2 linked regions of the Sus scrofa genome follow. The protein of the gene in region 2 interacts with the protein of the main gene of each other region in a biochemical or structural test. Links are inferred from orthologs where the notes say so. Each region holds a gene or a part of one and is shown on either strand. Other genes may lie near its edges.

What was found. The genes of interacting proteins can lie anywhere in the genome.
Region 1: the proteins of SLX4 (region 2) and EME1 form a complex in vitro, tested with the Homo sapiens proteins (3 studies listed by BioGRID, with this or other methods). The link is inferred for Sus scrofa from reciprocal best matches to the Homo sapiens genes SLX4 and EME1.

What each region holds. Positions count from the first base shown.
Region 1 is NC_010454.4:26,667,845-26,673,908, forward strand, and holds the start of EME1 (crossover junction endonuclease EME1), read left to right. Parts: upstream 1-2,281; 5' UTR 2,282-2,373; intron 2,374-4,181; 5' UTR 4,182-4,206; coding exon 4,207-4,990; intron 4,991-5,073; coding exon 5,074-5,201; intron 5,202-6,064. Other genes in the region: MRPL27 (39S ribosomal protein L27, mitochondrial), read right to left, coding at 13-80, 482-613, 2,109-2,151. UniProt on the Homo sapiens protein: Non-catalytic subunit of the structure-specific, heterodimeric DNA endonuclease MUS81-EME1 which is involved in the maintenance of genome stability. In the complex, EME1 is required for DNA cleavage, participating in DNA recognition and bending.
Region 2 is NC_010445.4:38,656,230-38,661,602, reverse strand, and holds part of SLX4 (structure-specific endonuclease subunit SLX4), read right to left. Parts: coding exon 5,365-5,373; exon of another isoform or gene 3,228-5,364; coding exon 3,019-3,227; intron 2,887-3,018; coding exon 2,564-2,886; intron 2,248-2,563; exon of another isoform or gene 2,058-2,247; coding exon 1,820-2,057; intron 1,423-1,819; coding exon 1,334-1,422; intron 430-1,333; coding exon 283-429; intron 1-282. UniProt on the Homo sapiens protein: Regulatory subunit that interacts with and increases the activity of different structure-specific endonucleases.

The DNA of each region.
Region 1 (6,064 bases), on a different chromosome or scaffold from region 2:
AGAGCAACTCACATGGGCACCTGGGTGCCAGCGGAAGTGGCGCTGAGTCGCAAGGATGTTGCCAGCATGAACATAGTGACCTAGAAGAGAAGTCCATGAGAGCTCTAACTCTCAGCCCCCGTGATGAGGCAGCACAGCAAACTGCTAAAAAAAACATGACAGCCCTCACCTTCTCAGCCCAAATGCTGCACACCTCTAGGCCTGCCCATGGTAAGACTAACGCTCAGAACCTGACACAGGCAGCCCCCAGTCCCCCAGCCAGGAGCCTCCTCTGCAGTCGCATGGCTAAGGTTCCCACCTATCTGCTCTTCCTCGGGCCTCCCATCTTGCCTCAGGTCTCCTCTGCCTCTCATTTGGAGCCAAATGTTCTGGTGAGGGAAATGGAAACCAGGCTCTTGCCTGGTTTCCCACTCTTCAAAGGAATGTCAAGGCAGCAGGGCAGGGTGCTAAGGCGGATGCAGAAGCCAGGCCACAGGCTCACCCTCCATTTTCTTGATGCCAAAGCGTTTGCCTGGTGACTTTCCACCGAGGTTCTTGGAGCTGCCACCTGTCTTCTTGGATGCATATCTGACAGCAAGAGCTGCAGCCTGAGGGGGGCTCAGCAGGGCTGTAACTGCAGAGAGAACAAAATGTTTTTCAAACAGAGGCTCCCAATCAGACTCTCTTTCTCTGTCTCGATGGGCCATTTGCTAAACTGAGAGGTGGCAGGAGGTAGTGTCAGGGGAGGTGAGGAAGATACGTGAGCAGAAATGCCACTTGACGGTCTGGGTTTTCAGGGAGTGTTTGAAGTCCTTGGCCTTCTCCCATAACGGGGCACAAATCATTCCTTGTATTGTCCAGGGTGTAAGCACTACATGAATTGTGTGTGTGTGGCCTGGGGTGGGGGTTTGGGGAGTAAAATAGTAATGGAAAAAAAATAAACACCATCTGTCCTAGGTCCTGACACATTCATTCCTATTGAGGAGAAACAAATACCACAAAAACAGAAGCCAGCAAGAGGATACCAGAGGGCTGCCTGTTTCAGCTTCACTCACCATTATGTCCTCAAGCCTCCATGCACTGTGGAGGGGCCAGACCGCAGAGCCCAGCAAGAGGACACCCAGAGAGGAGGCTCCTGCTTTGACCTCATCCACCATTTTATTAGCCATCCACCCATCCACTGCACACCACGTACTTGTAAACAAAAAGGGCAGCCTCTCTGAGGATGGCTCCCACAGGCTCCTGTCCACTTCAGAAGGCCGGATCCTTTCTTTGCTCAGCAGCCCATCGAGCACAGGTCCAACAAAGAAGACTGACACTCTGACCTTGTTAACCTGACCTCCCCATTCATTCCAAAGAGCACAATGGCATTTATTTTTAAAAGGAAAGTGAACTAAAATTCATACTAACCAGGACAGAAGCCCAGTGCTATATGACAAGCCCAGGACTGGCGGTCCCTGCATTCAGGTCTCCAGATACAGCTACAGTTAAACAGGGCCATGCCAGAAAGTCTTTAGAGAAGGCTTGTGGGTCCCTGGAGCCTATAAGTTCAGAGTTCCTAAATCCCAGGTTTCTGAAGTTTTAATGAGAACAGAGACTACCTGAAGCAAAGGAACAGAGACAAGAACTTATGCAGGTATTTTCTTTTTGGTCGCAAGCACAACATGCGGCAGTTCCCTAGGCAGAGACTGCACCTAAGCCACAGCAGCAACAACGATGAATCCTTAACCTGCTGAGCCACAGAGAAACTCCTACAGCTATTTTATTTATATGCTCATTTACTGGCTTATCTACTAGAAAGAACAGTGCTGTGTGTGCAGACTATGTTTTCATCTTCTCTGTTGAAATTCTCAACACCTACCACAGTGTCTGGTACAAAGATAGACCTCAATCTGCTGAACGAACAGATTAACTTTTTGACCTCTAATATGCCAGCGGTAGTAACCCGTTTTTGCAGATGACGGGATCCAAATAAACCCATTTATTTACCCAAATAAATCGATGAACCGGCACCTACGGCTAAGGAAGCTTATTTGCACGCCAGCCAGTGGAAGGTCAGGAGCTACACGCCCTAGATGTCACGTGATCACCGACTACCGCCCCTCAAACCTCGTGGGCCCTGCACACACCTCCCGTCCCAAGGTCTTCCGCGAGATACAGCCTCCACCGCATCTCACCCTCTGGCTCCCAGTAAGGTCTCCACTCTGCCTCCACCCCTTGCTCCGCGACGACCACAGCGTCCGGTTACCTGCTGCCCGGGTCCTTAGCGCCAGCACCGCCAACGCCATGTTTGCAGTACACTTGCTTCCGGTCTCAGAAATCTGCTTCCGCTACGTGGAGATCTACTTCCGGGTCTTACGTGGCGGTTGAAAGAGTGGCGGGAGAGGTTGCTTGGTGAGTTTAGTCGGGCGGGCAGCCGGGTGGGCGGCCCGGTGGGGGCGGGGTAGGGAGCTACCTTCTGAGCGGTCGGGGCCTCTACTGATCTGGTGCAGGTGGAGAGAGGCTGGAGCGCGATCAGTAGGGGCCCGCTTGCAGGGCCCCACATTCTGCCAGAGGCCACCGAGGCCCCAGCGGGGATAGGGATAAGGTCCCTCCCTAGTCGTGAAACCTACTTTTCTGAGCACTCCTGCGTGCCAGATGCTGTTTGAAGTGCTGTAGATGTGTGACCTTTTTTTTTTTTTTTAACTTCTCACAACCTTGTAAAATTGGTCTTGTTGTTATCCCTATTTTACTAAAAAAAAAAAAGCAAGGCCCAGAGAGGTTACATAGCTCATCTGGGGTCACACCTACAGTGGTAGTGAATATTTGTTCAAAGAATGATTCTTGTGCACAATTCAGCAATTGCAATCCTAGATACAAGAGAATTGAAAACATGTTCCTACAAAAAACTAGGACATGAATGTTCATGGCAGCATTATTTATAATGCCCAAAAAGGGGACTCAAACAGAATGTTCACCAAGTGTGAATGGATTAACTCACACATAAGTAAGATGGCATGTTATTCAGCCATGAAATGATGATGACAACATACATATGCTACATTGTAAATGAACCTTGAAAACATTATGTTAAGTCGGTCACAGGAGTTCCCATCATGGTACAGCAGAAACAAATCTGACTAGGAACCTGAGGTTGCAGGTTCAATCCCTGGCCTCACTCAGTGGGTTAAGGATCTGGCGTTGCCGTGGCTATGGTGTAGGCCAGCAGCTGTAGCCCTGATTCGACCCCTAGTCTGGGAGCCTCCATGTGCCATAGGCTCCGCCCTAAAAAGACAAAAGACCAAAAAAAAAAAAAAAAAAAAAAAAAAGGAGCCAGTCACAAAAGATCATGTACTGTATGATTCCATTTATGTGAAATATCAGAATAGGCAGATCCATAGAAAGAGAAGTAGATTTATGGGTGGTGGTGTTGGCGGTGGGTGGGGAGATGGGGAATGGACTGACTGCTTCATGGCTATGGGATATCTGTTTGGGGTGATGAAAACGTTCTAAAATTAGTAGAGTTGGTTGTACCTCCTTGCAAATGTACTAAACACCACTGAACTGTGTACACTTTAAAAGGATAAATTTTATGGTATACAAATTATATCTCACTTAAAAAGGAATAACTTTGGTATCTCTTATTTTATTTAATTAATTTATTTATTTGTCTTTTTAGGGCTACACCCATGGCACATGGAAATTCCCACGCTAGGGGATGAATCAGAGCTGCAACTGCCAGCCTACGTCACAGCCACAGCAACACCAGATCCGAGCCACATCTGCAACCTACACCATAGGTCATGGCAATGCTGGATCCTTAACCCACTGAGCAAGTCCAGGGATCAAACCCACGTCCTCATGGATACTAGTCAGGTTCTTTACTGCTGAACCAGGACAGGACTCTTGGTATCTCCATTTTAAATGCAGAGATCAGTAAAGAGGTGGCGTTGAGTCTTGTTCCTAACCCCTTAACATTTTTTAATCTTAACTTCCACTTTGTTTATACCTCACCTTGACCTTGAAAGGCTTTGAGGAGGGTTCCTGTTAGACTACAGACATAGCTGTTCTGAGTTCCAGATTGTCCATGTTGGGGCCATGTCCTAATTCTCTCTCCATTTTTCTGTGTATCATATTTATTTCCATAAAGCTTGGCCATCAAACACACTGAGTGGACTGGAATCAGTACTACAGTCTGTGTTCCATCCCTCTTTTTCTTTTAGGGAATTAATATGCTGGCATATACTGATGGCTCTGAAGGCATCACTCTCACTGGATTCCAGTGACAGTGACTCTGAGGAGTTGCCAACATTTGCCTTTCTGAAGAAGGAGCTGTTTTCAACAAAGAGGAGGCAGCCTCAGAAGGAGGAGAAGGTGGTCGTGGTTGACATCTCAGATTCTGAGGCCTCCTGTCCCCCATCACCAAAACGGAAAGACCCATCACCTGTTCCAGAGACAGCTGAAACTCTCACACAAACAGAGCCAGTCAGGGTGCTAAGCAGTGAAAGTGAGGAGGAGGAGGAGGAATTTATTCCCCTGGCTGAGAGACTGACTTGTAAGTTTTTGACCCACAAGCATCTGAGTCCTGAGGACTCCAGCTCCCCAGTTAAAAATGTTTTGGATCATCAGAATAATGGAGCATCACGTGACTGGCAGAAACAGTCCTTTCCAAAGATCCAAGGTATTCCCCTCCATGACACCGCAGGGAGGTGTGCATCAAATAACAAGGACCCTGTGATAGACAGTCCATGCCATCAGCTTCCAGCCTCCCACGCTCCTTGCTCTGCCCAGAGCTACAGCTTGACAGGCACCAAAACAAGTGCTGAGGTACCCCCGCCTCAGAAGAGAACCAAGCACAAGCAGAAGGACGGGAAGAGAGGCTCACAGGGATGCCAGCAGCGTGGACAAACAAGCCAGAAGGAAAGCACGCAGAGGCAACAGGAAAGGAAGAAGAAGGCAGCCCTGGTTAACAGGCTGAGAGCTCAGAGGCCAGAGGAATGCTTAAAGCACATTGTGGTGCAGCTGGATCCAGGTCCTCCAGGCCTCTTTCTCTACCTTTTGTGGGGTGAACTGCTTTCTGGGCCCCACTGACAGCTTCTTTCCTGTCTGTTGCAGTGCTTTTACAGATGGAAGGTGGGGGCCAGCTGCTTAGCGCCCTGCAGTCCATGGAGTGCTGCTGTGTGATTGAGGTGCAGGCTGTGCCCCGCAGCATCACGTGGAGGAGAAAGGCTGGCCCCACTGAGGTAGGGGTTTTCTGGCTGCTGTCTCTCCTCCTCCTTAGAGTTACAGGATAAATATGCTTTTATTCTAAGGATATATATCAGTCAAGGCCCTGGCAGGAAAGCAGAGGGCACACTCAACCTAGGATATTTTGAGGAAGATTTAATAAAGGGACTGCTTTCCAAGGCATGGGCGGGGTGCAAGGAAACTACAAGCAGTGGTGCCGTACCTCGGGATAATAACAGCTTTAACTTGGTTTCTCCATCTCAGGTACCATAACCATTTCAGATTGGTCCATTCCTTGTTGTGCTAGGCTGTCCTGTGCATTATAGGATGTTTAGCAGTGTCCCCAGCATCTACTCACTAGATACCTTGAGTACCTGTTCCAGTCATGACAATCGAAATGTCTCCATGGAGTTCCTGTTGTGGCTCAGCGGTTAACGAACCCAGCTAGGATCCATGAGGATGCAGGTACGATCCCTGGCCTCGCTCAGTGGGTTAAGGATCCAGCGTTGCCGTGAGCTGTATAGGTTACAGGTGTGGCTCGGATCTGGCATTGATACAGCTGTGATGTAGGCCAGCAGCTGTAGCTCCAATTGGACCCCTACCCTGGGAACCTCCATCTGCCACTGGTGCCACCCTATAAAAACAACGACAACAAAATGTCTCCAGATATTGCCAGACATCAACTTGTGGGGGGAAAATTCCCTGTTTCTGTCACAGTTACCCTATAAGGATGGAATTCTTACCCTACATCGCAGGTGGGGAAACTGAGGCCCTGAGAAGTTGAAAGCCTTGTTAAGACTGAGTAATGGCTGGGGTGGGGGTGGGGGAGGACCAGAACCCAGAGCTCCTCCCACTCGTGCTTTGCTATATTGTGGGTCTT
Region 2 (5,373 bases):
CAACTCTGGGGGGAAACAGTTTTATTCAGCGGAACAAGAAATCTGATGTCTCCCAATTCTGAGGTCCATCTGCGCATAGAGCTGCATGTCGTCTCCATGGAGGCATGGCCTGGATGGCAGCAGAGAAAGAAGCAGTGGGGGGCGGGGGAGGCTGAGATCAGGGGAGCTGAGGGGGCGGTAGGACGGGAGAGGCCAGGCAGAGAAGGGGCAGGGGGAGAGAGGGAGAGCGGGAGCGGGGAGAGGGGAGGAGGGGAGGGAGGGGCAGTCGGGCCACGCACTCACGTGCTGCATGAGAAGTGGGCATCGGGCATAAAGCACGAACTTGTGGGCATAAAGCACCTCGCCGCTGTCCGTCTGAAACTGGATGTCGCTCAGGTGTGGGTTGTTCACCATGGCACCAAAGTCAGCCACCAGCAAACCGAGGGAGAGCTGAAACAAGAGGAGAACCACTTCCATGTGCCGCCCGCCTAGCTGTGCAGGTGCCCAACTGAGGGTGTGCGGGCGGCAAGCCCTCGAGTTGCTCCCAAGGCCCGGCGTCAGCTCCACCTCTGAGAGGCTAAGCCTCAGAACGGCCAACCCTGTTCCCTCTCAAATTCTCTATCACGACGAGTTCCCTGGCCTAAACGGGAGGCCCAGCCGGCGGAGAGGCCTGGCACTGGCGACCTCATCAGAAGGGGGTGACAGCACTAGCGGCCGCTGAGTGCTTCGTGTGCCAGTCGGTGTGCAGGGTGACTACCGGCCCAGCTTGATGCTAACGCACGGCACCCGAGCCCATGCGGCCGTGGGGCCGGCCTCAAGCTCCCTGTCCCCTCCGTGACAGGTGCCACATCTCCAGGGAGACCTTGGTGAGAAGAGTGGCTGATGGTGATGGCCTAACAGGACGACATCCACTCGAGGGAGAACCTAGCTTCTGCTCCTCCGCCATGACACAGAACAGGGCGGTTGGCCGGAGGCGTGCAGGACTCGCCCTCGGGAGGGCACCTCAAGGCCTCAACGAGGGAACGGAGCATCCAGAGACAAGCGTGCGGGGCCACCGGCTGCAGGAGGTGCCCTCTCGGGGCAGGGGTGCGCCCCTGGGCCCCAGGACAGGGCAGGCTGCTGGGCCCGGGTACCAACGTGCCCCCAGAGTTCAATGACAAAAGGGACAAAGGCCTCATGGCAGAGCCCCGGGAATAGGAGGCTCCCGTGGGCATGCGCTTGGCTCAGCTCCAGGGCCATCAAGAGGACCCGTGGGCTCATGCGAGGGCCCAGAGGCTGGCAGTGAGCTGGCCGCACTGAACACGGGACAAGCACCGCAGCCAAGGCCGCAGGGCAGGGGACCAGACACCCTTACCGAAGCCTGGCCGCCCCTCTCTGCGTGCTTCTCCTTGGCTGGCAGGACAAACCCAGTCAGCGGAAGGCCGCCAGGTGACAAGTCCATCCCTGAAAGAAGGAGTCACAGCTTAAAAGAACAGCACCTCCTGGCAACATCAACCACCAGGAAATCACATCGCCCACTGACCCAAGGCCGCGGGCACCGCAGGCGAGCTGCCCGCACACCCCCAGCCCTCCCACCAGAGGTGCATGGGACAGAAACAAGCCCACAAGCCCACCCGCTCTGCGGAAGGCCCTGTCCTGGGTCAAAGCTGAAGGACCTTTGCAGACTCACCTAATCACCTTCACCTTGGAGGGAAAATGGAAGTACCTACAGACCCTACATTCTCCCTGTCACAGGGGATGAGCGGGGATGTCGGGTCTGAGCGGCTGTCACGGCACCAGGAGGACTGGCCTGTTACAGCCTCCATCCCAGGAAGGGGAGCCCAGAGGGCCAGTGTCTTACCTGCTTCCCCTCCTGTGCCAGCCGGGCCCCCACTGCAGGGCTGCGGGCTGGCACTCAGCCCCTCTCCTGCCAGGTCCAGGAGGTCCTGCAGGGCCTGGTGCTCCCTCTGGCTGGCGGAGGGTGCTGGGTCGCTGGGGCTGTGGCCCCCAGGGCGGGCACTGTGCACAGCAGGTGGTGTTCGTGGGCCCGGCTCTGGTGGATCAGGCAGCACCGGGGGCAGCGTGGGCTCCTGTGCGAGCTTTTGAAAGAAGTCAGAGCGCCAGCGTGAGAGTGTGCCCAAGGGTGCCAGCCTCAGCCCAGAGCAGGCTGGGGAAGCTTTTCACCATTACCACCCATCAGCAGGCTCCCCTGTCATGACAGAGGACATGTCTGTGGCCTCCACGTCTGCAGAAGGGTCCCTCCTGTGTGGTCAAAATTGCTTCGAGCAGGTGAGTACTGATTCCGGACCACCCATGTCAGGCCGGCCTGGTGCCCAGGCCCCGCTGCAGGTAGACAGTGCGAGCCCTGGGAGCAGGACCTGGGCCTCTGCATTTTAAACAGACTCTCCAGGAGCACATACATGGGGAGCCAGCGGGCCTCCCTGTTCTTACCAGGGGAGCCGTCTAGCTGCAGAGGACACGCTAGGTGACAACCGCGCTTCTTCCCCCGCCAGTGAAACCTGAGGTTTCCATCCCCAAGCCGCCACCCTTCCCCGGCAAGCCCACCCCCAGATGGCGAGCGAGTGAGTGCCAGGCGGGAGCGCACCTCTGCGGGCCTCGGAGGCACCAGGGTGGGGACCAGGCTCTCGGTGTAGAAGGATTCCAGAGCCCAGGCCCCGGTCAGGGCGCTGCCCTCCCACAGAAAGTTCTGCCTTCTCCCGGGCGGTCGCAGACGGCCGCTGCCCTCTTCCAGCCTCCGTAAGAGTCGGCTGGCGGGAAGTGGCGGCGTGCTGGCGCACTCGGCCGCCTCCTCCTCCTCCGCCAAGAGTCGCGCCACGCGCTCCTCCAGCTGCCTGCCCGCCGTCTCCGCGTCCTGGAGCAACAACCGCGGTGGGGAGACGGGCGCCTTCTTCTTGCGACTCTTCTTCTCTAGAGATAACCAGGCGACACGGAGCTGTCCTCCCCACCAAGCCCGCCAGCAGCACTTCTAGCTGCTGCCGGGGGGGGGGGGGGGGGGGGGGGCAGGCTCCCCCGGCCCCGCTCTCGGCCGCGGGTACCTACCTGCTCCCGGTCTCATCTTCACAGAAAAAGCGCTTCCCAGTCTGAGTGCCGCCGGCACAGCCTCGCGCTCCATCTCGGACCGAGACAGAGCCATGGCCACCAGCAGGTCCTCAGACGGCGCTTCGGGCTCAGCGACCTTCCGCCTCTTCCGTGGCTCCTTCTTGGTGGCGGCTCCCTTCCGCTTCAGACCTCCGAGGGGACTGCCGAGGCTTCAGAGACAGCCAGATGGAAAGGTGAGTGAGGCGAGAGGTGTGAGCACTTCCTGTGCTGAGAAGGAGCTGCACCCCTTCTCCTGGGGGGATAAGTGTGGCCTGGGCAGACAGAAGCATCAGCGGCCTCTGGGCTCAGTCACTGCGCTCACTCTGCGCCTCACGTAGGCTCGTGATCCTGGACGGAAAGTTCAACGCAGTCCTGACATGGCAGGTCTGGGTCCTCCTGGGTGACGCTGCCCAGCTGGGTCCTCGGGGCGCACCCGAGACGTGGCCGCCACCTTCCAGTAGAGTCAGCACTGGCTCCCAGTCAGCTCCCTGGATCCCACCCACGGCTGCCCAGCCACACCTCAGATGCCTCGTAGGCAGTCCCGGCCATGCAAGGATCTCTCCCTCCTGCAGGGGCCCAGGCCTCCACCAGGGTCAGCCGACCCAGAGGTCAACGTGTGGCATCTCATCTGGGTTGGAGGAGGTTACTTAAAGGGTTTTCTGGCTGCGGTGAATCCCAAGAGGCCGGGCAGACGGGGGAGGGCACAAACCCAGGCCCGCCTTCCCTGCACTGCGGGGCCGGCCTCCTGGGAAGCACTCTGGCTCCCCTGGCCTGGGGGTGGCACCAGAATCGCAGGGGTCACCTCAGGGGTCTAAGCTCCAGACTCCTGGGACCCTGCATGACCACCAAAGCCTGTGCGACAGGAAGGAGCCAACCCCATCAGGCCCTGCTGGTGGCCCTGCTGGCAGCTTTGCAGGCTGCACCTCAGGGTCCGGCGGCCAGGGCCTGGGCAGAGGGCTGCAGGCGTGAGCAGGCTGCTCTGACCAGCACATGTGCCCTGGTGGGGGAGCTCTAACCACCCCAGAGTTGAAACGCCCCAGCCTGGCTGCCGGCTAGGCGAGGCTTAAAGTCTCAGTGAGGGTGGCGTGCTGTGGTTTTCTACTCCAACAACCTTCCGGAAGGACCCACACACATCTTGTCTCACTTCTTGGAGGTATTTAAAAAACAGATTTTTTTTTTTTTTTTTTTTTTTTATGAGCAGGTAGCTTTAGTCTAGTCCTGCCAAAAGGGCAGCAATGGTTTAGGTAACATCTGAGCCCTTGATGCTCTGATTCTCCAAGGCTAATGCTGATGGGCTAAAACACGGACAGGTGTGCAGCTAAGAACGGCCCCTTGCCCACCCCAGTGTCAGCACTGGCGCCACTCAAATCACCTGCCTGAAGGGCAATGGCCGGAGCCAACAGCCACCGCCCTCGGCCTGCACTTTGCCCTCGAGAGCTGATGAAGGAAGGAAGTCCAGAACCTACAGCAGGCCAGGGCCAGCGCTACTTTGCTCCCTGTACCACTGGGGCCTACTCTGGCGTCCGCAGTGCAAGGGGCAATGTGGAGGGAAGTCACCCTCTGCCACATGTGCCATGGTTTGCACACAGAGCACTTGTTTCTGGTTATCAGCAAGGCCTTCTATTTAAACACTTAAGCATTTATTTCATGCAAATTTAAAAGGCTTAAGCTTCTGTCTCACCAAGTTGAACTGTGCTGAGAAATCTTTTTTTTTTTTTTTGTCTTTTTGCCATTTCTTGGGTTGCTCCCGTGGCATATGGAGGTCCCCAGGCTAGGGGTCCAGTTGGAGCTGTAGCCACCGGCCTAGGCCACAGTCACAGCAACTCGGGATCTGAGCCGTGTCTGCGACCTACACCACAGCTCACGGCAACGCCGGATCCCTAACCCACTGAGCAAGGCCAGGGATTGAACCTGCAACCTTATGGTTCCTAGTGGGATTCGTTAACCACTGAGCCACGACAGGAATTCCTATGCTGAGTAGTCTTAAATTAATGGTATGAAAATCGGACTACACTGAGCTGGAAGCCATGCTGCCCCCCACCCACAGTGGGCACGGGGAGGAAAACCGCCGAATTCCTAGCTGCTCAGCCTGTGGGGAAGGACCTTGAGGAAACCAGTCCAATCCAACGGGTCCCTTTCAAAGCCTCCGAGGATGGAGCTCTCTCTCCTCCCCAGTTCCTGTGAAGCCTAGGCCCGGTTTCCTCCTGAGATGTTTCATCTTCAGAAGCAGAGAGCTGCTGGCCTCCAGCACTTCCACAGGCTTTTTTAAACCAGTCAGAGTACGTTTCTTCTTTGCCCCTGACTCACCTCGGCGCG